Lytechinus pictus: one gene and its partners. The protein of the gene in region 3 binds, or shares a complex with, the protein of the main gene of each other region. Links are inferred from orthologs where the notes say so. Each region holds a gene or a part of one and is shown on either strand. Other genes may lie near its edges. The genes, in order: eukaryotic translation initiation factor 3 subunit C-like, eukaryotic translation initiation factor 3 subunit M-like, eukaryotic translation initiation factor 3 subunit G-like and eukaryotic translation initiation factor 3 subunit I-like.

Evidence for each region.
Region 1: eukaryotic translation initiation factor 3 subunit G-like (region 3) and eukaryotic translation initiation factor 3 subunit C-like share a complex: the UniProt entries of both Drosophila melanogaster proteins name them as parts of the eukaryotic translation initiation factor 3 (eIF-3) complex. The link is inferred for Lytechinus pictus from reciprocal best matches to the Drosophila melanogaster genes eIF3g2 and eIF3c.
Region 2: eukaryotic translation initiation factor 3 subunit G-like (region 3) and eukaryotic translation initiation factor 3 subunit M-like share a complex: the UniProt entries of both Drosophila melanogaster proteins name them as parts of the eukaryotic translation initiation factor 3 (eIF-3) complex. The link is inferred for Lytechinus pictus from reciprocal best matches to the Drosophila melanogaster genes eIF3g2 and eIF3m.
Region 4: eukaryotic translation initiation factor 3 subunit G-like (region 3) and eukaryotic translation initiation factor 3 subunit I-like share a complex: the UniProt entries of both Drosophila melanogaster proteins name them as parts of the eukaryotic translation initiation factor 3 (eIF-3) complex. The link is inferred for Lytechinus pictus from reciprocal best matches to the Drosophila melanogaster genes eIF3g2 and eIF3i.

The regions. Positions count from the first base shown.
Region 1 is NC_087246.1:16,951,521-16,958,447, forward strand, and holds the start of eukaryotic translation initiation factor 3 subunit C-like, read left to right. Parts: upstream 1-3,916; 5' UTR 3,917-4,075; intron 4,076-6,927. UniProt on the Drosophila melanogaster protein: Component of the eukaryotic translation initiation factor 3 (eIF-3) complex, which is involved in protein synthesis of a specialized repertoire of mRNAs and, together with other initiation factors, stimulates binding of mRNA and methionyl-tRNAi to the 40S ribosome.
Region 2 is NC_087253.1:1,908,165-1,915,329, forward strand, and holds the start of eukaryotic translation initiation factor 3 subunit M-like, read left to right. Parts: upstream 1-4,153; 5' UTR 4,154-4,253; coding exon 4,254-4,295; intron 4,296-7,165. UniProt on the Drosophila melanogaster protein: Component of the eukaryotic translation initiation factor 3 (eIF-3) complex, which is involved in protein synthesis of a specialized repertoire of mRNAs and, together with other initiation factors, stimulates binding of mRNA and methionyl-tRNAi to the 40S ribosome.
Region 3 is NC_087259.1:30,430,700-30,437,926, reverse strand, and holds the start of eukaryotic translation initiation factor 3 subunit G-like, read left to right. Parts: upstream 1-4,206; 5' UTR 4,207-4,309; coding exon 4,310-4,326; intron 4,327-5,816; coding exon 5,817-5,863; intron 5,864-6,396; coding exon 6,397-6,485; intron 6,486-7,095; coding exon 7,096-7,155; intron 7,156-7,227. UniProt on the Drosophila melanogaster protein: RNA-binding component of the eukaryotic translation initiation factor 3 (eIF-3) complex, which is involved in protein synthesis of a specialized repertoire of mRNAs and, together with other initiation factors, stimulates binding of mRNA and methionyl-tRNAi to the 40S ribosome.
Region 4 is NC_087261.1:4,539,474-4,546,869, forward strand, and holds the start of eukaryotic translation initiation factor 3 subunit I-like, read left to right. Parts: upstream 1-4,385; 5' UTR 4,386-4,500; coding exon 4,501-4,503; intron 4,504-7,396. UniProt on the Drosophila melanogaster protein: Component of the eukaryotic translation initiation factor 3 (eIF-3) complex, which is involved in protein synthesis of a specialized repertoire of mRNAs and, together with other initiation factors, stimulates binding of mRNA and methionyl-tRNAi to the 40S ribosome.

The DNA of each region.
Region 1 (6,927 bases), on a different chromosome or scaffold from region 3:
TCAATAATTTGTCCCTTTTTTAGAATGGAATACCGTCAAGGTTCATCTTGCTCTTAGAAAGAGGAATAGAAAGATAGTCATTATTTTCATATGATGACAAATATCCTTACAATGCCTGGTCCTAGGTCAAAATAATGATAAAAAATTATTAGCTCTCGCTTCGCGCTCGTGTCATTCATCCGATTCATATCCAATTCAGAATTTTCCTACACAGTGCTTGAAATAGTGCATGAATTCACCCTTTTCCAGATCGAAATATCAAATATTTTCAGCTCGCGCTTCGCGCTCGCCTTATTGATTTTCATAAACAAAATAATGTAGGCCTATTTAGAATCTAAATCTAAACACGCGCGCATGTTTATTGAGATTTCGACTTGCCCTTTATTTAAAACGTGCATAAAAATCCAGTTTGAGATCAGAATATCTAAAAATTTCTGCTCGCACTTCGCGCTCAAATTATTAATGTAGGAAGATGTAACATTGCGTTGGTTTCAATATAAAGTTGTGCAACGTATTATATATTATTTACAAAGTATTTGCTTTTCAAATCGAAATTAGTTTCAGTAAACAAAATGTATACCTTCTGTCGAAAAGAAATCGAAACAGTTTTGCATCTGTACTCGGAGTGCGGGCATGTTAATCACATTTGGAAAAAGTTAGAGGACTGGATTAGGACCAAAACCAGTGAGATTCTTCATTTTTCAGTTAAAAATAAAATATTCGGATTTATTGGAAAAAAACAACTGTGCACTTATTATTTGATTGTGGAAATATGTATCGTCTTCATTGGAAACTGCAAATAGTCCTTAACATGCCCCTTTTGTTCAGGATCACAAACATTGCTCAAAATGTTCAATATTGAGGACAAAATAAATGAAACTTCAAAAAATCTTAGCTCGCGCTTCGCGCTCGCATTATTTGATTGTTGAAATATGTATTGTATTCATGGGTAACTGCAAACAGTCCCAGAGCGGATATTAAAAATTTCTCGCGCTTCGCGCTCGCAGTAATTATTTAATACATACGCATCTTTTTCAGGATCAGAAACATATTGCTCAAAATGTTTAATTTTCATGATAAAATACATATAATTTCCAAAAATCTTAGCCAGCGCTTCGCACTCGCACTATTTAATTATATATATATGTTATGTTTTAATGAATAAAGCTATAAGAAGTATATATATATATATATATATATATATATATATGTATGTGGGTGTGTGCGTGTGTAAGAACAATGGAAAACTCAATTGTGACCCCCTCCCCCACCTTTGAGGAGAGATGTTCAGCACCCCAGTCAAAAAATCGTTCCCAGGGACCTGTTATAACCCCACCTATAATCATATTAGGCCTAATATATAGGCCCGAGCGTGCATGGATTTGGAGGGACGTCATAAAGGCGGCCAAGCTCAAAGTTGATTTTTGTTTGTTTCTTTGAAGGGGTAGCCCCAAGCCCCCAACAGTCACTTCTTAGCTATATTTGTGCAAGCGCGAATTTTTGTAAATTTCATGTATTTTATCCTGATAATTCAACATTTTTATGGGCATGTTTGTCATCCTGAACAAGATGCGTATAAAATAATGTAACTAGATAATTACTTCGAGGGCCCATGCGCGAGCAGAAATTTTTAATCTACGTTCCGGCCTGCATGATCGAAAAGGGACCTGCTATACTGTTTTCAGATAGCCATGAAGACAATTTTTTTTCGACAATCAAATAATTTCACAAAGCAGCTATCCTGGTCGGTATCCGGGGTTGGTATGCAAATGAGCAGAGTGATGATGTCACCCACTCACTATTTCTTTTATATTTTTTTTTCGGAAACATGAAAAAAAAATCTAATTTTCTCCCCATTGTCAGTGAAACAAAACTTTTATTCCTCCCTGAACACGTGGAATTGCCAGTATTTTAACAGTTTATGGTTAAGTCAAGTCAGGATCCATATTGTCGAATCTGTAAAAATTGAAATATTGTATTTAAACCATAAAAAACAAAAGAAATCGTGAGTGAGGGACATCATTAATTGACTCTCATTTGCAAGTCACGGAGTTGTGCATAACGTGCATGTTTTGTGACTACGAAACTTATAGAAGACTTCCTTTAAGCGCGAGATAAAACTTGTCGATACTTTCCTTTCTAAAAAAAAAGGGACAGTACAGTAAAAATTCATCATTTTTTAATGAAAATGTTAATATTTTATCTAGGCTAATAAGCCTATATAATGAGAGCGCGAAATGTGCTGAGGCATGAAAACTGGACATTATGTTTTGTGATTATGAATAGGATGCATGGGTTATCGCGAGATTGATAAAATGGGCTCGATGTCCGAGCTGAAACTTGTATATTGACTTCAAAACTTGATATTTTAAGCCTTCTGAGCAAGATAATCTCATTGAACATGCAATGCGAACCCGAAGCGTGAGCGAAAATTTTATGTAATGCAAAAAAAAAAGATTTGAAAAATCATTCCCCTCGATCACAATATGTTTATTAACTCATCTTCTTCATCCTCTCTTTTCCCTCTTCTTTTATTTTCGTCTCTCTCCCCTTCTTTTTTCCCTTTCTTTCTTTCCTCTGTTTTCTTTCTTTTTTTCTCCGCCAATACAGTGCGTATAAAAAGGGACAGTTTTGAACAGTCTATAAATAATTTGTTTCAAATTATGATATCTATATTTTGATGTTAATAATGCTCTGAAATCTTATCTTTGAAATTCAATAAAAAAATAAAAAAAATAATGTTTATGCTCGGGCAAACACGGGACGTTTTTGTCGGGGGTTCAAAAAGAGGCTTGCGCCAGAATGGCAGAATATGAGTAATATGATGATCAGACTTCTTGCTAATCAGCAGACTTCCTCTAACCTTTTCATTATCTGTGCCATAATTTTAAAATTATGCTGTCAAATTTTATTTACAAATTTATTTATTTACTTGAATTATTATTTTTTTTTTCATTTAAACTTCTTTTACCTTTGAATTTTCCTTCATAAGTAAGAAAAGAAGACTTTTTGTCAACCCAAGCAAGAAAATTTGCATTATTAATTGGGAAAACTTGTATAATTATTCAAATCCTTTTATTATGTGAAACAAATTATGTATATGGTACCTTTAAAGACATGAATCAATTTTTCAAGGGTTTATTGATTCCCGTTTGACCAAGTTTAATTATATGCTTGACAGGACAAACAGGAAGGGATTCATGTCTTTCAATAGCAATGGTGTGTTGAGTCAATTTTGAAGGAGCTAGATATGGCAGATCGGGTAAAAATTAAAAAGTTGTAAGCGAGCGAAGCGAGCACGCAAATATTCCCACTTTTTTATTACAATATCAAATTTTGTGATATAGATTTTGACATAATATTCAGAAAATGATATCATATTTTACTTTCTGTCTTTCCTTTTATTTCCTTTCCACTTTTTTCTTGGTCATGATTTTTTTTTAATTGAGGGGGGGGGGGGGAGCATCCCCGAGCCCCCGCCCATAAAAAAGTGGCACTGTTCAAAAGGCACCATAACCTTTGTAGCACACAATGAAAGGATTTGAAAAAAATACACGCTCTCCCATACTTCGGTTGAAAAAAAAATTGTTTTTGCTTGAAGATCGAAGGAATATTCAACTCTAAAAGAGAACATATTAAAAAGAAACAACAACAAAACAATTCATAATTTGAAAGTTATGGCAAAGATAATGAAAAGATTAAAATGAAGTCTGCTGATTAGCAAGAAGTCCGATCGTCATATTTATCATTTTATGCAATTTTGGCGCAAGCCTCCTTTTTAACCCCAGACAAAAACATTTCGTGTTTGCTCAAGCATGAACGAAACTAAAAAAAATTAATGGCATTTAAAAGATAAAACTTCAGAGCACCTATGAGTGCTGAGTTTATTTTGGCCGAGTCACAACTTTTCGCCCATGCATTTCACATTGTGCACGTGTAGCCCACTTCCTAGAATGCGATGGCTAGCGTATAGCTATGCTAGCTAGATGCGAGCGCGAGCGCGAGCGACCGCGAGCGTTCGCGCGCGCCTTCATATATGGCGGATTATGATTCCGAGATTGCTCACGCAGGTTAGGTAAGAAAGTTAACATATTGCACATTGTTGAACCAAATTCGCATTAAGCACTGCATTTGTTGAATGAATGTGAAAAATGTTGACTAGTTATCTTTGAATATCATGTGTGATAGTTTTAAAACTTATGTGTCGTTCATTATAAATCCTGCAAAGAGGAGCTATGTCGCAGACCTTTTCGTTCTGTCGATCATGCGCCCATTCATTGCGAAGATACCTGGCACAACAGCGTAAATTGCGATATTGTTCATGTTCAAACTGTTCACATCTATCACGAGAGTGTGATAGTTCCCGTTCACTTGTGCACGTAAGAAATCGCACGTGCCGAAAACGGGCGATTTGTGCATGATGGACCTTAGGGTCGCCATTTAGGCGCTAATGCAGTTTCGCATCAGCCGACTTCGAGAGAATTTCCCCACCAGTAACTTCGAAAATAGCAAGTCTCTCAATCAATTCATCAGTTATTTTTAATTTTACAAACTGGCTCAAAGGCAAGTCAAACCTCGGCTGGTCTCCAAAAGATGGCTGTCAAATGTATTGCCGTAGACTACGCCGGTAGACATGCGTGACCCAATAAACGCAAATAAAGGGGTGTTTTTCAGTTTTGGACGCGGGCCGCGCGTGCACTCGTTAAGGGTATTAAAAACACATATTTTCAGAAAAAGGGGTAGTTTTGAAAGACTGGTCAATGGTTAATCGCAGGGTCAAACATTAATAATTTAACCTTTTAGGGTATTTTTTTTTCCAAAGCTCTTTTTTTTAATTACTAAAATACTAGCCAAACATGTCTAGGGTATGTTTTTTTTTCCCGGGGTCATATTCTGGCAACAACTTGTTTGGTTTGGGGGCCAAAATTTGTAAAGAAATCCCGCGAAAAACTTGTTTACACAGTGGCAAATTGTCCATAGACTGTGTACAATGGATAGACCGTCTCGGCTCAGCGAGTCGGAGACTGCTGATTGGCCAATCGCGCAGATCACGTCATGACTACGTGGTCACCAAAATAATCCCTTCGGACTGCGTGCGAAAGTATCAATAGTGCTAACGATATCCGGTCACATTGTCTACGCGGGAAATGGTCTTGGTTCGTGATTAGATCGCTCCAGTATCGATCAAAAATTATCGAGACTCGGCAATTTCATGCATATTCACGCGACGCTCCGAAACCCGGAGATCATTTGACTTTGTACACATTGAGATAGACTCTACAAACTTCAACGAACACGATGCCATATCGACGCTAATTCGTAAGATTTTGACGGAAAATCAAGAATTAATCGAAATTCGCTTACCTGTGCGGTATCAGTGATAAAATAGTTCCTCCAAGAATACCTTTCATAATTCATATAAAATATAGGAAAGTGAAATTCTAGGTCGATTTTGGTATGATAGAGAATTGCACACTTGTTTTGGTGGAATACTGTGTGGGGCAATGGAAGGCTTGCAGTGCGCATGCTTACTATATTTTCATTCATAAATTGGCTCTCGGCAGTGGCTGGATGACGTCATGTAATAAGCAACATGTACACGCCCGCTAGCGTTAAACGCACCGCTATCCGTTCTATACAATTTGCCACTGTGTTTTAGGGGGATATTTTGCACACAGAGAAAAACTCGTTTAGGGGGTGTTTGCAAATAATTTGGCCACGCGTGTGTACAGCAATACATTTGACTGGCCCCCCAGGGTCGGGTCTTTGACCTGTGCGCGCCATTCCAGAGACTTTATACAGGGCGCGACAAACCCGCTTGCCCGGGGCAAGTGGAAATGATGTGCTTGCAAGCATTTCCCTAAGTCAATTGCCCGATCGGGCAAGTGGTTTTGGAAATAAAATAAAATATCAGCAGACCCTATATAGGACAGCTGGAGATCGTGATTTCGCCTCTGAAAAGTTAAGCATAAACAGCACTCCCAGAACCACGTTTACAATCGGCGTTTTGAATCGACGTTTGAAAACGCTGATTCTGTCCTCGCAATGGAAGCATAAACACACCGTAAGTGACTATTGCTGGTCTGTAGACACCGAGAGGCAAATAATTTTTTGTATAACTTTATGCCCAATTCCAAGGGATTTCCCAGGTATCATATTTTAAGGTCAACATGGTCAATATGCGATTACGCCCACTGCTTTTCCGAATATTGCATATCGGGAACAGCTGTATTTCGACTTTAATTGGGAGGTCTCCGTTCAAATTCTCAGACATCATTTTCCTTGGATTTTCCGTAATTTTGATATGGACTGCAGTTAGCGACCAATATGTGAACATGCGGCAAACAATGGGTGAGCTGCTGGCAGACAGATATTTTGGTCGCTAACTTCAGTCCATATCAAAACTACCATGAAGTCTGAAGCCAAGCATTGCCAAAGTGAAGCGATGAGAATTTGACAGTGATCTTATCTGCTTAGGTCAACCAATAGAAGCATCTCTTCTGTAAAAACATTTAGTGCATTATTGACATGATGCATAATTTCCCATGCGCCTCTGACGCTTATGCTTGTGCACTACAGTGCTTAAAATACATGTGGCTGCTCTCCCAGGCATATTTTCTTTGAAATGATCCATCATCTCAAATGAGATCTATTGCCGAAAAGTCATCAAATCCAACTCTGTAATATCTCTTGGATCCGAATGCCTTCTTTTGTCAAAGAAGTTTTTGCTGGATACAGCTAGAATTTATTGTTGACTGAGAAAAATCGCATGCTTCATTAAGTTACAATTGAATAGCCACTACCTCTTGTAAATTTTATTTTCCAAGGAAGTTAACATTAAGAAAAGGTTTGAGAATTTTCAGACTATCTTTCATCTCGATACGTTATCATGTCCACAAAGAAATTTATGCGCTGTTTTTAGATAAA
Region 2 (7,165 bases), on a different chromosome or scaffold from region 3:
ATATATATATATATATATACTGTTTCAGAAACGGATTTTGAATTCTCTTTTATGTCACATCATGGGCACTGACGAAGAGTGTGACTTTACCTTTCATTTTTGAGAGCTATGCTCCTTTTAAAATCTACGATTTTATTTCTACGGCATTTACTAAACCTTTTGTGATTATTTTATTCCTTATGCCGAAACAGACTATTTCTATATATACATATATATACATAGTCATCCTGTAATTAAAATTTCAGCTCGCCCTGCGTTCTCGCATTTTGATTCGTGAGATACTTTTATGATTTCTTACAAATAGTCCTTGCTGTATTTTTTTGTCTTTGTCAGCACTCATAGTTTATCTAAATAATAATGTTTATCTTTCTGTGTCTCGATTACTTCGTCAGATGGCGCATAATAAATGCTGTGTTTATAAGTGGCGTAACTACGGGGGAGGCATGGGCGGAAATCCGGGGGACAGGGGGACGCGTCCTTTCCCCTACCCAAAATAGTAGTGGGACATAATATCAAATGTCCCCTACTATTTTGGGTCTTTTATGATGAAAAGAAATACGTCATTCAAAATCGAAATTAAACACTTCTTTTGAACGAGATGACCTTACTTTTTGGGTGATATATATATTTCTTTTTATGACCTTACATTTGGGGTGATAACATTTTTTTTGCTTGTCAAATTTTCCAGCCCCTGGTCCCCCTACCTTTGGGGAGAGATTTCCGCCCTTGGGGGTGGCACGTGCCCCCAATCGGCTGCTGGCCAAAAAACAAAACAAAACAGAGGGAAAAGAGGGAGAAAGAAAGAGAAACGAATGGGGAAAGAAAAAAAAAAGAATTATTATATGTTATATTATATTATGTTATATTATATTATATTATTTTACCCAAGATATTTTTTTTCATAACCTTATGAAACATAATTTACTTTGGCCGAAGCTGTATAAAATGAGGAGCGTTTCATCAAATTGTTGCGGTAATAGATCTGATTTGATTTTGATTGACTGATCGACATGCACATGCATTTTATATGGTAACTGAATTACCTTTGTCGGATATCCAACAAGTCATGACACGCTTCCCCGATTGGTTGCAGTGATGGCACCAACTGAGGAGGCAAAAGAACATTTTTGGTGGAACAGGCGGACAAGATTTTACTTTTTTTTTTTTTTTGCATATATTTTGATATTCCAATTCAACTCTGCGGCTTGCCGCATTCTATATCCGAGTATCGGAGAAAGGAAATTTATATATGCACCTTAACTGCATTATTGGGGGAATAATTTTTTTTCACTGGAAAATTTCTTCTAGTAGAAGGGGTATGACCGGCGACCTTACAGTTTTATTTGATTCTATTGATTTTTTAATTGGAGTATCGAGCCCGATATGTCGTGCATGCCTTAGGCACCAGGGGCGGATCAAGGATTTTTCAAACGGAGGGCACATATTTTCCCAAGATAAATTGGACAAGCAAAAAATAAAAAAAGGTTGTCATTTTTTTTATAAGTCTCTCTTTCTTTTTCTCATGATTTTTCATGTTTATTTTCTTTTTTATCCTTTATTCTTATTTACCCGTATGCCAATTTTTCGTACTTGATTTCCCACCTGTTAGGCAAGTTTCAAGTTATTTATTACAAATCCAAACATAATTAGGATACTATAATCAAAGAAAATTAATAATTGTTACAAATCATCAAACAAAAAGTTACATTGATAAATGAAAATTTTCAACAATAAACGGGCAATAAACAGACCCAGGACCAAAATCCAGTTAAAACCAATTAGGGCAAAACCATTTGAAACCAGTTGGCCAACTGGTTTCAATAGGGAAATTGGAACAACTGGTTCCAATTGAAAACCAGTTGCCAATTGGTTCCAGTTAAAACCAATTGGTTCCAATTGAAAACCAGTTGCCAATTGGTTCCAGTTAAAACCAATTGGGCAACTGGAACCAGTTGGCAATTGGTGTCAATTGGTTCCAGTTGTTCCAATTTCCCTATTAAAACCAATTGAATCCAATTGGAGGCAACTGGTTTCAATAGGTTCCAGTTGAAACCAGTTGGAGGCAACTGGTTTCAACTGGTTTCAACTGGAACCAGTTGAAACCAATTGGTTTCCAACTGGATCCAATTGGAACTTCCAGTTGGAATGAACTTAATTAGTTACAAATTAATTAGCATTTGCACTAACTATTGCTCATGCCAACATAGAAGCAGTGTTATATGTCTATTAATACCAACGTAAAAGGCATTGATAAAATAGAGACTTTCATATGTATATATTTATATGGAAGATCTTCAAATATATGTATTTTTTATTTGATGTAATTTGGTAACAGTTAGTGGTGTACTAATTATCCTTTGATCTGTTTTAATTATAATCTATAACATTTATGAACATGGTTTCCACTGCTAAGTATTCTAAATACTTATCTTTAAAAAGTGTGGTACTTGAAATTGAAAATAATCAAATATATACATTGTTAATGATGATGAATCTCATAAAACATTAATCTGTGCACACTGGCAGATAATATGCAAATTAACTGGTTTCAATTGGATCCAGTTGGGTAACTGGAAAATTTCCAATTGGAAACCAATTGGAAATCATTTCCAGTTACCCAACTGGTTCCAGTTTTATTTCCAATTACCCGGACTGGTTCCAATTAGAATTCATTTCCAGTTACCCATCTTTCCAGTTATAAGTCATCTCCAGTTACCCAATTCAACCAATTGGTACCAGTTAGGATTTCCAGTTACACAACTGCATGGTTCAAGTTAGAATTTCCAGTTTCCCAACTGGTTCCAGTTAGAAATCATTTCCAGTTGGAAGTCATTTCCAGTTACCCGACTGGTTCCAGTTAGGATTTCCAGTTGCCCAACTGGTTCCAGTTGGGATTTCCAGTTGCCCAACTGGTTGCAGTTGGGATTTCCAGTTACTCAACTGGTTCCAGTTAGAAATCATTTCCAATTGGAAGTCATTTCCAGTTACCCAACTGGTTCCAGTTAGGATTTCCAGTTGCCCAACTGGTTTCAATTGGTTTCAACTGGAAATTGTTAAATTCCAGTTAAAACCAATTGAAACCAGTTAAAACCAATTGAAACCAGTAGGAAATCCAACTGGTTTCAATTGGATTTTGGTCCTGCAGGGAGTCACAAAACAAACAAAACAAAAAAGGGGGAAAAAACATAACAAAACAAAACACACAAAAAAAAGAAAATATGTGCTATATGCTGTCAGAAACTGTTTGACTCTAGCTCGATTATCTGTCAATTTACAGGGCATATTATTATTCATAACATATAATCTCCAGTTACAATGTCGTTCTAATTAACTGCAATTAATTCATACTTGTAATTGCTTCACGGTGTTAGATTTAATTTTGGGCCATGCTACTTGGATCGCAAATCATGTCATTTCATTTTCCAGTATGCATATACCGTTTCTTTTGGTGCTAACGAAACGTTAAGATTTTCAACATCATTAATTGTATTCAAAGGACAAGTCCACCCCAACAAAAATTAAGTTGATTCGAATAAAAAGAGAAAATCCCACAAGCATAACACTGAAAATTTCATCAAAATCGGTTGTAAAATAAGAAAGTTGTGACAGTTTTGCTTCACATATCCTGGTCGGTATCATAATGATGATTTTGATGTGATCCACTCGATCTCTGTTTCTTTTGTAATTCTTTATATGAAATACGAAATATTCTATAATTTTCTCCTCATTTGTCAAGTGAAACAACGATTCCTCCCTGAAGTGTGGAATTACCGGGTGGAATTTTATAACTGATAATGATATTGGGTATTGATAGTTTCTGATAAGACGGCATTATATGCACTGTTATTTAAACCAATATATTTGAATATTTTCTGGCATCAAATTTGTCATATATATATTTTTCAATTTCTATCGGTCATGAAGGATCTTTTCTATAAACTTCGGAATTTAAGAAGAATGGGTTTGATGCATGCATCAAATATTTTGAAGTTTGTGTTAGAAGTTTATATTAGAAGCATACATGTAGTAAGCGAAGAAAGGGAGGGGGGAGTATGTCGTACACAAGATCAGAGGAAGGGGGGGGGGGGCGTTGACATATGAAAAGACTGGTACCTTTTCTTGATACTATAATGTACGTATATCCTTATGCATGACTGACCATAGACATACCTGAGAACTCATTTTATTTCTACCCGCGTGCTGCGTGTGTTAATTATTCTTGAGGCATACGGGAGAAAAGAAGTCACAAAATCATGAGTTTACCGGCTTTTATCAATATTCCTGAGGCAGAACAAGTAAGTCATTAATGTAAACTTACATTTTTCCTTTGGACAAAGAGAAGAAATAATTTAACGATTGTTTTTGAGATACCCGAATTTCATGTTTTCTTTATGTATTCCCACCTATTGAAATTTGTGTTTGTAAAAGATATTATTACGAGTTTTACGACTAGCTATGCGCGCTGCGCCTGTGTTAATAAGGAAAGAAAGAATGAAAGGAAGAACGTTACGCGACGCACGCGCGTAACGTTGGGGAAGTACAATAGGAAACAAGATGGCGGCGTAAACATCGGGCAAGTCTCTTCCGTCTTTTCTCAATATTTTTCTAATTTTTTTGATGAATTCTTGTTTAAAAATAAAACCGAGAGCGTAGAAATGTCGGAAATGAAGTTTTATTTAGTTTTATCCCATGTACCGGTACATGATTTAGGGCTAGATCTTTTAGAAGGAAAGTAGAAATCTCGGGGGCTAAAGTTTCAGGTTTTTCAACGGTACGTGGAGATGAATGGGAAGGAATACCTGGCTTCATTGAGAGTAAGCATACGTAAGTAAATAATTTTTACTCTCAAGAAGCCGCCTGGCTAAGTTTACAGGGACTGTCTCAGTTTTCAGACAAAGATTTATCCACACAAGAAATCTAGGAAAGTTCATTCACCTGTCAAGTGCCGACATCAATCGAGTGCGCTAGTCAATGTAAAGCATATCAAGTTTCATAATAAGATTATTGGAAGACGGCAAGTTGTGAAAAAAATTGATGGTGAACTGGGGGGGAATTCAGGTCACTGAATCTATTATTAGCACTCTCAGCAATCCCAGCAATTGCCGTCCATGTCCCGCAGGGGTAAGTGAAGAAAAACTGTCCCCATAAACAAGGACAATCTCAATTTATCAAGACATGATTTGTCTTGGTTTATGAGGATATCCTTGTTTTCTGGGACAATCCCATTTTTTGGACCAGCGCCTCTACTGTTTAGCAGTACCTGTATTTTGTAGCACTACTACATGTAGTGTGTAAAAAGGGTGTAACTTTTTGTTAATTCTGTATGTCCAATGCATATTTAGGCAAGCATCATACTGCTGGCTAACGTTTATAGAGTTTAGTCTTGATAAATCTGCTGTTTCAGAGGAGTTTTTCAAAAGATTCTCTAGAATTCTGATTTTTTTTGTCCTATACAGACGGCAATGGCGTTGGGCTCATAGTGGTGGAGCTCCACCGACAGCGTCTACATGTATGGAGAAAAGGGTGCGATTTGGCACTCTCCTTGATTACTTCTAAAAGGAAGAAATTATAAATTTTTTTAATGCAATCAGCTCCCCCAAAAATATACTGGAAAAAAGCAAATTTCGATGAAAAACAGATCAGGATCAGCCAGGTTCTTCTTTGATCGCTCAATCGACGTCAGCGCAGCTACAGCTGAGCGTACGAACGTGCCAGCCAATCCGCTGGTGCGTCGATACGCTCAGCTGTAGCTGATGGCGATTGAGCGATCGAAGGAGAACCTGGCTGATCCTGATCTGTTTTTCATCAAAATTTGCTATTTTCCAGCATATTTTTGGGAAAGGTTGTAAGCTAATTGCATTCAAAATTAAATTTATCTTTATCATTTCTTCCTTTTTCCCGTCAAAAAGCAAAATTTAGGAGTAAATGAGGAGGGTGCAAAATCGCACCCTTTTCCCCATAGACGCTGTAGTAAAGGCTTTGGTGGAGCTCCACGACTACAAGCCCATTGGCCGTCATTGGTCTATTGATGGAGGGGATGCCGCAGAGCCAGACAAAGTCTCAGCGGAGCATATCTCTGACAAAAATAGACCTATTTTTATCGGTCTAACTGCTGGCCTGAGTCACCCAATTATTTTTAAGGCTAAGGGCAAGGCTAAACACCATCAAGTGGCATGATCATGACAAAGTCAAACTCTTTTGATCGCTCTTTTTTCATTATTCATGTTTCATTGTTTGTGACTCAAAGTCACAAACAATGGGGTTCATTGTTTGTGACTTTGACTCAACGAACAATGAAACATGAATGATGAAAAAGAGCAATAAAAATACATTTAAAAAAAAATGAAAATTTAATTTTGTGACAGGTTGGCGAGAAATCGTAATTCATATTTGTGCCATTCATATTTGAACTTTTCTCTTTCCTTCTCTTTTTTAGATAAGTTGTCATGTACATGTATTTATTTGCTCCCGTTAAACCTAGGCTCTAACTCGTTCTAGATCTAGCAAGTACTTATTCATCTAGATCGTTTTATTGTCTCACCTGCATAGCAGAGTGAGACTATAGGCGCCGCTTTTCCGATGGCGGCGGCGGCGTCAACACCAAATCTTAACCTGAGGTTAAGTTTTTGAAATGACAGAATAACTTAGAAAGTATATGGACCTAGTTCATGAAACTTATACATAAGGTTAATCAAGTATCACTGAACATCCTGCATGAGTTTCACGTCACATGACCAAGGTCAAAGGTCATTTAGGGTCAATGAACTTTGGCCGAATTGGGGGTATCTGTTGAATTACCATCATAACTTTGAAAGTTTATGGATCTGATTCATGAAACTTGGACATAATAGTAATCAAGTATTACTGAACATCCTGTGCAAGTTTCAGGTCACATGATCAAGGTCAAAGGTCATTTAGGGTCAATGAACTTTGGCCAAATTGGGGTATTTGTTGAATTACAGCCATAAATTTGAAAGTGTGTTGGTCTAGTTCATAAAACGTGGAAATAAGAGTAACCAAGTATCACTGAACATCTTGTGCGAGTTATAGTAGTTTTCAAAATCAGCACTGCTGCTATATTGAATCGCGTGATGCAGGTGAGACGGCCAGAGGCATTCCACTTGTTTGTTTATATACTCTTCTTGGTTGATCTACCTCCTTCAAG
Region 3 (7,227 bases):
CATAGTGTGGGGCCAGTATGTCGTATTGAATATTTAGATTTATCATTTGAAAAGGTCCATCTGTGGAATTTGTTAAATGCTCTAGTAAAGTAATTGTGAATGTTTGCATTAATTGAGAACATATTCATTAAATAAGGTGAAAGACTTTTTGTGTGGTATCGTTGCATAATTGAAGCAATTTGAATTTTGGTAATATCTGGAAGTTTAGCTGTACGTAATGATTTAAATAGCAAAGAAGTCGGGGCATTATAATCTGTCTTCTTACATATACGTATTGCCTTTTTTTGTAGAATAATTAATTTTTGTATATGGCTAGAATAAGTGTTACCCCAAATTGAATTGCAATATGAAAGACGGGACAGAATATAAGCATTGTAAAGAGTAAATAATATATAACTAGGTACATTACATTTTAGACGATTTAAGATTCCAATAAAACGTGCTATTTTGACAGAGATAGAACTTATATGATCATTCCAACATAAATTATTGCTTAAAATCACTCCTAAAAACTTCACAGAATTATAAAATTGCAATTGAGTTGTATCCACATGGAGAAATATGTCAGTTTGATTATATTGCACACCCCTCTTTTTATTAAATAAAACACAATGAGTTTTGTTTGTATTTAAGGAAAGTCTATTGAACTTAAACCAGGCAGAAATTTGGGCAAGATTTATATTTACAATTTCAACTAAAGTAGTGATATTATCATGGGAGGCAAGAAGTGACGTATCATCGGCATACAATATAAAATGTGGTTCATGGCAAGAGTTAACAATGTCATTAATATATATTAAAAATAATAAAGGCCCAAGAATAGAACCTTGGGGGCACACCTGTTTTTATTTCCATGAAAGACGAATGGGTATTATCATAGACAGTAAATTGTTTCCTATGCAATAAATATGACTTGAACCAATTAAAAGACACCCCTCTTATACAATAATATTGCAACTTATTAAGTAAAATATCATGAGAAAGAGAATCAAAAGCCTTGGAAAGATCCATAAAAATTCCTATAACTTCTTTACCGGCATTGAGCTCACTAATTATTCTATCATGAATTTCAATAACTGCCATTTCAGTGGAGTAATTTTGACGGAAGCCGTATTGACTATCATATAATACATTATGACGTGATAAAAAATTGTACAGTCTGTTAAAAACTAATTTCTCCAAGATTTTTGAGAAACACGGCAAAATTGATATTGGACGGTAGTTGACAAATAAATTAGGATTCTCCTTCTTAAAAACGGGAACAACTTTTGATATTTTCAGTTTTGAAGGCACAATTCCAGTTGCAAGAGAGGAATTAAAGATATGTAAAAGTGGGTCTATAATAAAGGGTAAAACAGTCTTCACAACAGATGGATCAATGTCATCAAATCCGCTACTCTTATTAGGTTTAAGCGATTTACCGATATCTAATATTTCTTTTTTTGTAATCGGTTTAAAAAACATAGTATGAGAGAGTGGGTCATTCATATAAATATCAAACGAATTAGAATTATCTTCCTTAGGATCATTGTTTATACTCGATCCGATATTGACAAAATATTCGTTAAAATTTTCAGCAATTTCACTACTATCACTAATGTTACAATCATTATGTAAAAAAGACATATGTTTATCAAAATTATTTTTCTGTTTTCCCAAAATGTTATTGATAAGTTTCCATGTTTTATTAGAATTTGTTTTCATGGATTCAAACTTGTCAAAATAGTATTTTCTTTTCAACCGGCGGAGATTCAGGGTAACAATATTACGAATCTTTTTTATATTTATCGTGATTAACTTTGGTAGGAGAGTTAAGATACAATTTATAACATTTGTTTTTCTTTCTTATAAGCTTCATCACATCGAGGGTAATCCATGGCTTTCTATTCCGATGATGTTTACCAATATACTTTGTGCTGATTGGCAGATGTTTGTTATACAATGTAATAAAGTTATTATAAAATGAGTCATACGCCCTCTCCGGGTGGCTTTGTAGGTATACATCTGACCAGTCCACGGTTGAAAGATCAGCACAAAAATGATTAATGCTGTCAGGGGATATCTTCCTGTAGGTGTGTACTTTTCGTTGTTCATATGTTACAATATCTGACAAATGTGACAAATGGAAGATCGGAAAATGGTCGGAAATATCTGTTAAAAAGGCACCCGACAGAGGGGAACTACTAAAAACATTTGTGAATATATTGTCAATAATAGTAGATGATCTACTATTAGCTCGTGTAGGTCTGTCTATAATGGGATAAAACCCCGATGAAATCACTTGGTTAAAAAAATGAAGAATAAGAGGGCTTCCAGATTTTTTAAACAAATCGATGTTAAAGTCGCCCATAAAGAAGACACGTTTATTATTTATGTAACTATGATTCATCAGTCTATCAAAATATAAAGTAAATGCAGAAATGCTCGATTTCGGTTGACGATAAATGATCCCAATCACAATATTCTTCTCTGATTTGCACTCTATTTCAATACTTAAAACATCGACACCTTCACAGTGCTCAGAAAAATCACACAGTTTGTAATTCATATCCTCTCGAATAAATAGACCAACTCCACCACCGCGGCCATTTAATCGGTCAACATGTAGGAACTTATAACCTTCAATTGAAAAGGGGACATCAGAGTTTGAGTTGATCCACGTTTCCGTTATCCCAATCACTGAAAATCTAAATCTGATATTTGAGAGAAAACTGTGTATATAATCAAAATTTTGAAATAAACTCCTTGCATTGAAATCCCGGGGGGGCCACTTACATTGACGAGTGGATACCATGCGCGACCAAAAAAACACGTAAAAAGGATGTCTTTTTCAAGATAGGGCACGTTACGTACGTAACGTGATAAGGGTGTCAAAAACACAAAAATATTGAAAAAAGGGTATCTATTTCGCTAGGAAAAATATACGTGTTTAGGGTCAAATGTGCGGGGATGATAAAACAAAGTCAAAATGTTTTATAAAGGATGTCCTTTTTGCCCCAACACTACGTGTTTAGAGTCCGATTTGCGCGAGGTGTGGAAGGTGGGGCCGTACTAAACCAAAATAATGGTGTCTAAAGGTAAAACCGACGACCGACGGACGCGTGACATAACAATAAAATACCTCTGTACTTGTTAAGGGGTTCATTTCAGGGAATACTTGCTAAGAGTATCGTTTTGTTTCCAATTCTTGTTAAGGGGTGCATTTTCAGAATATGGAAAATACATCGCTGTACTTGTTTAGGGGCTCAGTTCTGGGAATACTTGCCAATAGTATTTGTTTCCAATACTTGTTAAGGGTAGGGTTTCACACGCCAATACTTGTTAAGGGGTGCATTTTCAGAATATGGAAAATACGTGTTTAGGGTGCTTTTCAAGACCCCGTGGTCGCGCATGGTATCCACTCGTCAATGGAAGTGGCCCCCCCGGGATTGAAATGGATCATGCTAAAATTTTTTGTTACAGAGTTTTTGATAATTTCATTAAATTCAGAGGTCAAGTAATACTTCGCATTGGTGGAGTCGGTATATTCGTCCTGACCATTTTCCACAGATTGTCCGTCTATATTATCTGTATCGACGGACTCTCTTGTTAAACAGAATAAGGATTCAAATTCCGAGTCATCAATTTCTGCAAATGGAAGAAGGTAAGTATCGTTTAAATTTGCAGATGAGTTATTGATGGTTTCATCTTTATTCAAACTTGATTCTATTATTACATCATTCGACATCGTTAACAAGACGCACAGGACAACATAAAATCTACACAAAACACAAACACTTGAGAAATAATTGACAAAAGGTAATATACTATTTCAGTCACTAACTTTTATTTATCTTTAAGAGTCAGATAATAAATCGATTGATATAAACCAATAAACCAACAAACTAGACTGGAATGCACGGGGGAATGCAACAGCATTGATTTTTCTCTCAGGTTACAGATTCTCCAAGTCTTGTTTACAGTGGATGGTTTTACGAATTGACTTTCCATTCGTGGTAGTTAACAGGACTACGATTCGTCCATGTTATTGTGACTTGCCAAATAAAATCAATCAATCAATTTCTCTTTTCCCCGTTCCCCCCCTTATTTTCCAGGTGAAACCCCCCTGCCTGTTACGCCACTGCCCTCCGCCCCCCCCCCTTTGATCCCGAATCGGGTTTTGATATAGCGCCATCTACTGTGCAGCTTTGGTGCAGCTGTCCCATTCATTTTGTACGCGCGCCGAATACGTGTACTTACGCAAGTCACGCATGTGTGTCATAGCAGCTGTTCACTTTTACGAAAGTTGGCCTAGAAACAGTCTTCAAATATGCCCTCGGCCGATACGTAAGCATTAACCAGAATATTATTTAAATGTTTATTTTTTTATTTTTATTTTAATAAGTATTATAATCTCAGAAAATTGAAAAATTTATCATGATAAAGATTCTTTTTATCACCATCTTTGTCGACTTTCCCCTCCTCAAGAGGCATGCGCCACGGCCTAGCGTGTGAGATATCTTTTACACGCAATTGAATAGGTGATATCACGTTTTCTTGATAAACGTATTGGAATATCACCCGAGTTAATTCACCAGCTACGCCTATACAGCACAGAAAATCTGATATGCAAGACAGTGTTCCTTGCATTGCGATGAGTGTGACTGAGTGTGTGTTCAATTTAGTGATTAGGCAATTAATGGAACATAAGCAGACAATTCAGAATATCATTTTAGATCTAGGCCTATTTTAAATCATAAATGGTTATTTTTTTAATCTTTTGATTAGATTTAAAAATTGAGGAGTGCTCTGTCAGTAGAGAGGCGCACGGCCAATATTGGAGACTGTCTCCAATGTGGGAGATTATCTCCAATATCAGAGACTTTTGTAAAGAATTTGGGTATCAAATTTCAGAGACAGTCTCCAGTTTTGGAGACCAATTTCCTTTGTTTACATTTGCTGCAAAAGGATTACCTTGGCGGCAAATAAAAATGTGATAAGCAGATTCCTCATGAAAAATTACCCCTTTTCACCGTCTACTTTAAAAATTCACCGTCTACTTTTGTTTCGATAAGGATTTTTGTTTTCAATCACACTCAAAACAAATGGGCTTCTGACCTCAGTGAGACAAAATTTTGGGTAGAAAAAATCATGCTTTTGTTGGTGTTGTTTCTTTTGTCCTTTTGCAAAGCAAGTCTCCATTGCGGGAGATTGTCTCCCCTATTGGAGAGAGTCTCCCATATTGGCCGTGCGCCTCTACTGTCTGTCTGAGTAGGCACTTCACTCGCGTGAGCGATCGTGCGGGCAGATCAGCTGTAGCCTTGAACTTGAAGACTCCATGATGATATTTTTTAAATATTTTGACATATAATAAAAGCTTCTCCATCATGGAGCCTTGAACTGCCTGCCATATATGTATAAGAGACTCACTAAAACAAAGATGGATTTCCCTAGGAAATCCATCTTTTAAGATAAAAATCACGTAAATGTTTTTTATTTTATTTATTTTTACACCTTCATACGCCTAATGCGTATGAAGGTTTCAAAAATTGGTTAATACGAAGGTTAAAAATTGAAGGTTTCTTACCAGCCCGAACTCGTGTAGATCTCTCGATTCGTTCTTCAACAAAGCAAATACAATAAGTCTGACCCTTGAATCGCTTCGTTATGACGGTTTTAATCACGTATTAAATTTTAGTATTTGTTAAATAATAATTTTATCTATGAATTGTTCTTCAATAAGGCATTTTGTAACATCGCTAATCGAAGGTACATCATAACAAAGCGGTTCAAGGACCTATTGTAAATGAAAATAAACTTTTCTTCTTGCTTTACAGATCTAAACCTATTAGCTGGGCAGACCAAGTAGAGGAAGGAGATTTGAGTAAGTTCGTCATTTTGACTTACGTCTCCTCTTTTTATAAAGAGGAAACCAACCTAAAAAAAAGGGACTTGCAAAGATAATGATCATTGCAAAATATTCTTCAAAGGATGTTTATTGCACATAATTTAAAGTTCAGTTTCCTTTCTAGTGCTTACTAAAGCTTGAACTTGTATGGTTAATGATGAATGAATCCCAAAACTTAAAGCTGACCTTGATGAGGGTATGTGACCTTTTATGTCTTAATGTCAATGTTTGTTATGTTATTTTATTTGTAAAAACTAGGTTGCTATCATTTGAGCTTGGATGGACAATAGACTAGGCCAGTTATTAGACCAGGCCAGAATTCGGAACCACTACTGAAAGTTGTATTGAATTCATTGTACAGTAAGCTACAATCATCAATAAAGGAACTTATTCAACTGAGCATTATTTTCCACATTTTTGGTTAAAAAATCAGGCAAGATACAGGAGTGTATCACAGTCTATGCTAAATCTTTTTTTTTTAATATCTTTCTTTCCTATTATCTTACTAGGGAGTATTCCACCTCCTGAAGAATTGTTTGAAGGAGATTTCAAGAAGTTGATCGAGTACAAACGAGATGAAGATGGCAAATTGATAAAGGTACCCACAATTATTTACAAGATTTATGATTATTATCTACATTTATCAAAGAATCTACAAATTATAAAATCACTTGTCTTATGTAGGCCTACATGTATTCATGTTTGGTTGTGCATACAAGTCATTTTGTTATCATATATTCATTTATTTTAAACATATATTCATTTATTTTAAAATGGACAAATAGTCCTACAAAGTCGGACTGTTAACATCTACAGTAAGTACATCCTACTTCACTGCCACTGTAAGAGTACCAAACAGCACAGTGCTGCAATTTACTAACAAAAGTTCAGTGATTTGTTCCTTGAAATATTTATGTTCAAAGTAGGCAAATTCTCTAAACCACAAATTTTAATTTGTGCTTGTATTTCATTAATACATGACAATCAGTGGTCAGTAACAAGAAACCTAGTGCTTGATCTAGGTCTGATTTTTACCCTTGAGTACCTTGATCATTATGTGCAATCAGTCAAAGGAATCAATTGTATAATCAATCACTAATCTTTGTGTTACATGCCCCTAAAAGAAATAATTACATTGTGTGATTTACATAACAGGCTATATGTATTTAGTTTTTTTGAAATCATGAAGTTTTTTTTTTCTCTCTCAGATCACACGCACATTTAAGATTGAGAAGAGGAAAGCCTCCAAGTCAGTAGCTCAACGAAAGGTATGAAGATGAAATTAGCAAAAAAAAATGGTTCTGATGTCAAGTTATACCAGATACACATCTCTTTTTCGT
Region 4 (7,396 bases), on a different chromosome or scaffold from region 3:
TGTTCAGTGAAAAGGGTATTTCATGTCACCTTTCCCTATCTTTTATATCTTACCAATAGAATGCAATGCGATCACCAAGACCATTCTCCACATGTCGGTCGAGAACATTGTAGCAGACATTAGTAGTTGCACCCTGGAACCACTTGATGTACACCGGCCCGTTGTTCACGTTAAAATTATACTCTAAGAGCTTGCCTTCGGTCGGCGGAGTTTTGAAGTAAAATTGCTCAGCTATCTTACTCCAAAACACCTCAGGTTCATTTATGGATTGGTCATAGAGTTTCTTGTACTCTTCGATCGACTTCACGTGTGCATTTTTCTGCAGTTCTTGGTTTGGATAGTAAAGCCTTGTCGCTTGGTCTCCGCTAGCGTCCGCCATGATTGCATCGAAGTGTTTGAACTGGCTGAATGTTGTTCGAGCGCGGCGGCTGGCGCGAGCTCGACGCGACGCGAGCGGCGTGGCTTGGCAGAGCGGGCCTGGCTCGAGGAGCGTGGGCCGGGTTGGCCAAAGAGTACAGTATAAAAATCGTACGATCGGTAGCTAGGCCAGGGGGACAAAGATGAAAGATGGGCGTGGTCGCTCTTCAAGAGTTTATTAACCACAATGGTTAATAAACTCTTGGACCGTTGTATAGGTCCATGATAAACTCTTCAACTGAATGATATTATTGATAATATAAACTGTTTGGAAAACAAGATCATCTCAAATGGAATCAGAGCCCTTCTGGGCATTGTACGTGGCTCTTCTTTTCTCCTTTTTCATTGCTAAAGGTGGAGTGAGTGGATAAATGCATAAGTTTCTGAAATTCAGATGGATCAGGCAGGTCAAAGATTGTTGTTTTTCAAAATGATGCAGTAACCGTCACAGGTTATGTTCGACCGATAAAAATAGTCAATATCAACCAAAATTCTGGTAAATTCTAACTTATGGTTGATTTTGACCATTTTTGTCGGTTGGACACATAATCATCAACACAAATTATTTTGACATTTTATTAAAGGGATGGTCCGGGCTGAAAATATTTATATCTAAATAAATAGAGTAAAATTCACAGAGCAAAATGCTGAAAACTTCATCAAAATCGGATATCAAATAAAAAAAAGTGAAGTTTATCAACATTTTGTGAAAACAGTTATATGCACACTATCATGAATATTCATTAGGTGGGCTGATGATGGCATCCCCACATTCATTTTTATAATGTTATTACATGAAATCATAAATGTTTCATTTTTTTATACATGTGTAAATGATGTGTCTCCATTATGATGAAATAAGTTGCGGCGATGAATAACTAATGCACTTATAATCCGTTGTCAATCCAATTGTTTTATTTCTTGGTAGAATTTCTTTTAAAATAAACCTTATTTCATATAATAAAATAAAAAGAACAAGTGGTCAAATTTTCAGCATTTTGCTTTGTGAATTTTACTCTTTTTATTGGGATAAAAATACCTCCAGCCTGGACCATCCCTTTAAGAGTCAAGAATCCCTATGACAGTCTGATTTTCAAGTAGTGAAAAGGCCGAAAATGCACACTCATGAAATTTTGTTCTGATTCACCTTGCAATTTACGCTTTATTCTCATTTCGAACATAGACCGTGCAAAAATAAAATTGTGCAAAATGAACTGTCACAAACAAAAATATTATTTGATTGCTTTCACTGATTGTTAACAGATGTGCGACAGTAGCTTCATGATGATGATTATGATAATAATAATGAAATAAGTTTGGAGCTGACCCATGATGATCCAGCCAACCTAAAGAGGAGATCAGGGGGGCGTTTCATGAAAGGACTTGTCGGACGTTTTATCCGACAAGTCCCATTTTATCCGACAGTCAGACCTGCCGACAGTTACCATAGTAACAGTACCTCTCAGCCAATCAGAATCAAGGAAAGATGTCAGATCTGACAACTTGTCGGATGAAAATATTGATGAAACGCTCCCCAGGGCCCTGGGAGCGATTTTTTAAATTGGGGTGCTGATGTAAATTTGAAGAGCAAAAAAAAAGGTTTTCACTACAAAATGGAAGTGATATTATTGGTCCCAAAAAATAAAAAAGAATAAACAAGAGTTATCAATACAAAATGGAAGTCATTATTGGTCCCTACAAATTTGAAAAGGAGGGGGGGGGTTCACTACCGGTATACCAAATAAAGGCCCCTCGATCGGGTTATATTTATCCAATTTTTTTCTCACTCCTTCCAGAATTTCAGGAGGTGCTGTTTCACTGTAAAATAATACATGCAGCACCCCAAACAGGCGCAGCGGACGCATTTTTGTTGGGGGGGGGGGGGGGGGCAAAGAAAAAAAAGGGCACTTATATATCAAAATGGGTATTTGGTTGCAAACGAATATTTTTAACATGAGATTATCATCTGCGTTAAGAAGTTTTGTGTTTTGTATTAAGTTGAGCAAAGCCTTTTTGAAGTGATTTCTGATAGATGAAATATATTTAGGCTTTGTTTTTCAGCGAGCGAGCGGTTTGGAAAATTTTTCCATTCTAAAAGCTGCTGTGAAACTCGCCTTTTGGTCAATTATCGCGCAAATTATTAGCTGTTAAAAGTGCATCCTTGCGAGATGTTGCGAGCGCGAATCGCCATGCTCAAACTTTTGGACAAATATCCTGAAAATTAAACATACCGAGCAGTTTTTGTTATCATGAAAAAAATGTGTATCTAACTAGAAAATTCGCGCGAGCTGAAATTTTTATACTGACCAGAAAAAGACACTGGTAAGGATTGCATTATAGTGACTGATGAAGATGATTTTATATCTCATCAATCAAATGACGCGAGCGCGAAGCGCTAGCTGTAAATTTGTGATATTCCAACCTGAAAACTGGATAAGCACTTTTTGTAACCAAGAACATAGGCCTAATGAGTACTTTACCAAATAATGATTGATGCGAGAATGAAGTGCGAGCTGAAAATTTGTGATATTCCAACCTAAAAACTGGACATTTTATTACAGCACTTTTGCAACTATAACAGGATGAGTACCTTACTAAACAATAATCGATGCGAGCGTGAAGCGCGAGCCAAACAAATTGTAATTTTCTAAGGCCTAAAATGTATTGTTTAACCTTAAAAAAAAAAATTATTCTGTAAAAGGGCACATATATCATTAAAAAAGGGTATACTTTCCATTTAAAAAAAGGGCATTTTTCCTACTGGGAATTTTTGGGGAAAGTGCCTCCCTGCCCCAAGGAAAATCTTGGGGGTGCAGGCAGCACCCCAGGGGAGCGTTTCATCAACATTTTTGTCCGACATGCATGTTGTCAGATCTGACATCTTTCCTTGATTTTGATTGGCTGATAAGCAATGTTACTATGGTAACTGTCGGATAAAATAGGACTTGTCGGATAAAACGTCTGACAAGTCCTTTCATGAAACGCTCCCCCGTTCCCAGGGCCATGGAGGAGGCAGAATATGGAGATGTGAGGCTAATTAAGCCTGCGTTCAGAAGCATTATTTCGTTACATCCCCCCCCCCCATTTTTACACATCTTCAAGAATACCTGGGGTGCTGCATCCCCTTTAACCTTTCTTTCCTAGAGCTCCCATTTCTCTTCTTTCACTTCCCTTTCTTTTCCCTCAGCTCCCTTCCTTTTTTTCTGATCTCTTTTTCCCGTCCTGGTTAATGTCCCCACTATACCTCTCCCCCTTTTTTGAAGATTTTCAGGGGGGAGGGTGGCATATGTGCCGTGTACCCTCGATCATAGATCTGCCACGTACCGTTACCAGCAAGGATTGCTTATTAGCTGACAGTGCAACGCATAATATGTAGATCGCGGGAACGATTTTCTAAGAGGGGGTATATACTGTTTTTTTTTGTTTAACAAAAATTTGACAAGCCCACCCCACACAAAAAAATAGTCTCCACTTCCAAAATATTGCAGGTCGGTGATTAAAAAAAAATCACAAACCCCCCAAAAACAAACAATTAAAAATCCTCCCCCCAAAATAAGCAAAGAAACAAAATAATAGCAAAGGCCTTCATTCCAGATTAAAAAAATAATGGCAAGCAGGCAAAAAAAAGAAGAAGATAATAATAAGCTGAAATTATTCAGTCCCGAATGAAGGCGTTTTTTTTGTCAAACCATTATGTAGGAATATGCTACCCGGGTATGCGACTATCGCACATGTATTAATTTGGTAAACAAAGCCGAATGATTTTAATGATAGAATACCAACCAAAAAATTGGGGAGGGGTGCTTCAGTCCTCCTCTCCCCACCTCCCCTCCGGTCCCCTCCGCACACGCTTCCCATGCATGCCCATAGATATACTAATAACTAATAGCGTAATTAGTATACATCTCTTTGTGCATGCCATACAATGTCGGAAACCCCTTTTTTATCATTGAAAATTGACAACGTCTGATCGTAGACTAATTTAGATCCCGCGCATGTGTTGCAAAATTCTACCGGCTGGTATCATAATTTCGTGAAAGATTGTACTGATTCTCTAATTCGTCACTGATATAATTTTTTAAAATGGTAAAGTATGAATGTTCATATTACGTAGTATTCTATGTATGATTTTTTGAGAAAAATATTAAACTTAACTATGAATTAAAGGACTGTTAAAAAGTAGTAAAAAAGCTCATGACACAGAAATAGATACGTGGGAACGCACGTCAATTCAATGCATTGTGACTGACGTGACTGTCATTTTGTGAATGTGTGATTTCTAGTTCGGTCATCGGTGTTGCCTGTGTTTGTGTGTTGGTGTTGAGATGAGAGTGTAAAAAGGCCACTGACCGAGCTGCAACACCAATGAAGCTGGGTTCAAAAGAACGATACCGATTGCATTATCGATAGCTCATGTGACGATTGACGTCGTGCCTCTGCGCTGCACTGCTAAATCTTTATCATGCGTGAAGTTTATCATTACGAAAGTTAAATCGGAGCTAGACTCTAGAGAAATGGATTAAATTCTCATCGTACAGAATACCGGCAATGGCAATGCCAAGACCAGAGTGGGGGGGGGGGGGGGGTAGTCTTGAGGACTCCATGATGATGTCTTTTTTAAATACTTTGACATATTATAGGCCTACTTCTTCATCATTGGATTGGAGTCTTGAACCCCAGTTCATATATGTATAAGAGACATGTAAACAAAGATGGATTTCCTAGGGAAATCCATCTTTTAATATAAAAATCACGTAAATTGTTGTGATTTTATTAATCTCTACACCTTCCTACGCCTAATGCGTAGGAAGGTTTAAAAAAATGGTCAATTAAAATGTTAGAAAAAGGTTTCTTACCAGACCGATCTCGTGTAGATCCCTCGATCCACATGTACACAACGCAAATACAATAGGGTCGACCCTTGAACCGCTTATGTATAGTAGTAGTAGTATTTATTTCCGTATTAAAAGCACAATTATATACAATAAAATACGGTGGATAGCCCACATTCAGCGTGACTGGCACAGTAGCGCTGGTCTTCCGTGGGGTCCATAACATTTAACATTAACGTATAATTTAGACACAAATAAACCACATTAGAATAACAGATGTACAGAAGAAAAATGAAAATGTAAATATCAACAGTAAACATTAATAAGAAAAAAAAAAAAAAAAAAAAAAAAAAAATTAAGGGGCGCAAACCTAACAGGGAATGGGGGGGGGGGTACCGGAGTCCATGTGCTACAGATCAACAATCTTAGATTTGAAAATATTAATACTAGGGGATGATTTGATGTGAAGAGGAAGGGAATTATAAGCCATGGCGCTTTTATACTTGAAGGATCTTTTGAGGTAATTTGTTCTTGGTTTTGGTAATTTAAATTTGGTTCCGAAACGGGAGGGATACGTATGTGATACTAACTCAAATTCATTTCTTAAATATTTTGGAGATAGATTTTTCATGATCTTATACATGAGAATAAGGGAATGATCGTTTCTTCTTTTGTCCAACAATTGCCAATTTAGTGTATCATGCATTTCCAAAATAGATATATGAGATTCGGGTTTAATTTGGAGTATAATACGACCTGCTCTGTTTTGCAGTTTTTGAAGGCGGTCTGTGTATTTCCTAAAGGATGCATCGTAAACAACATCACCATAATCAAAGTAGGGGAGGATCAATGAACTATATATTAATTTCAGGATCGATTCACTTAAGGATCGCCGCAATCTTCCCAGAAAGCCGACTAATTGACCTATTTTTTGCAACATGTTGTCTATATGCAAGTTAAAATTCAAATAATCATCAACTATGATGCCTAGGTATTTGACATGATGAACTTGTTCTAATGGGGTATTATTTAAGGAAACATGAAGGACATTTTGTTTAGAAATCATATTCTTGCTTCCGATGAGCATACAGACCGTTTTTTGACAGTTAACACTTAACTTATTCTGGCACATCCATTGGTACATATTTTCTAAATCTGAGTTTAGGGCCTCGTTGATTCTATCTATGGAGGGGTGTGAAAAATACAAAACGGTGTCATCCGCATACAATTGGATATGACATGTATTAATACATTTCACTAGATCATTGACATATAATATAAAGAGCAGTGGCCCCAGGAGTGATCCCTGGGGCACATGGCAGTTAATAACTGATTCATAAGAGAGTTCCGAATTGATAAGAGTCCTACAAACCCGGTTTAACATGTAACTTCGAAACCATAAGGATGGTGTGCCAGAAATACCTAAGTTATTCATTTTTTTCAAAAGAATATCACAATTCACGGTGTCGAATGCTTTTTTTAAATCGACGAAGACGGCCCCAATGTAATGTTTAAGATCGATTGAGTGAAACCAGTCATTGGTTACCTTTAGGAGAGTGGTAATGGTTGAGTGCCTTGGCCGAAAACCGGATTGGGCAGGTGTCAGAATATCATTATTTCGCAAAAAATCTAAAACTTGCCGTTGGACAACCCTTTCCAGTATTTTAGATACGCAGGGCAAAATTGAGATGGGCCTATAATTCGAAGGAGAATTTTTATCGCCACCTTTGTGAATTGGGATAATCTTAGCTTGTTTCCATTGTTGCGGAAATATACCGCTTGACAAAGATAAATTAATCAACTTAGCAATACTCATTGATATCTCCATAGAGCATGCCTTCAAGACAAAGACAGATATCTTATCAACACCGACAGACTTAGTGTTTTTAAGATTTCTTATGATTTTCAAAACATCATGTTCGTTCACCTGAGTGAATGCAAAAGTCTCATTTGTATAATTACCATCTTCTGTATGGAGGTTCATATCGGGTATTTCACTGGCTAATTGTCTCCCTACATTTGCAAAGTAAGTGTTGAATAGGTTAGCAGTTTCAGTATTACAATCCGAATTAGACGAAACTGTGAGATTTTCACGTTTTTTATTCGGAATAATGGACTTTAAGGTTTTCCAAGTCTGTTTTGGGTTT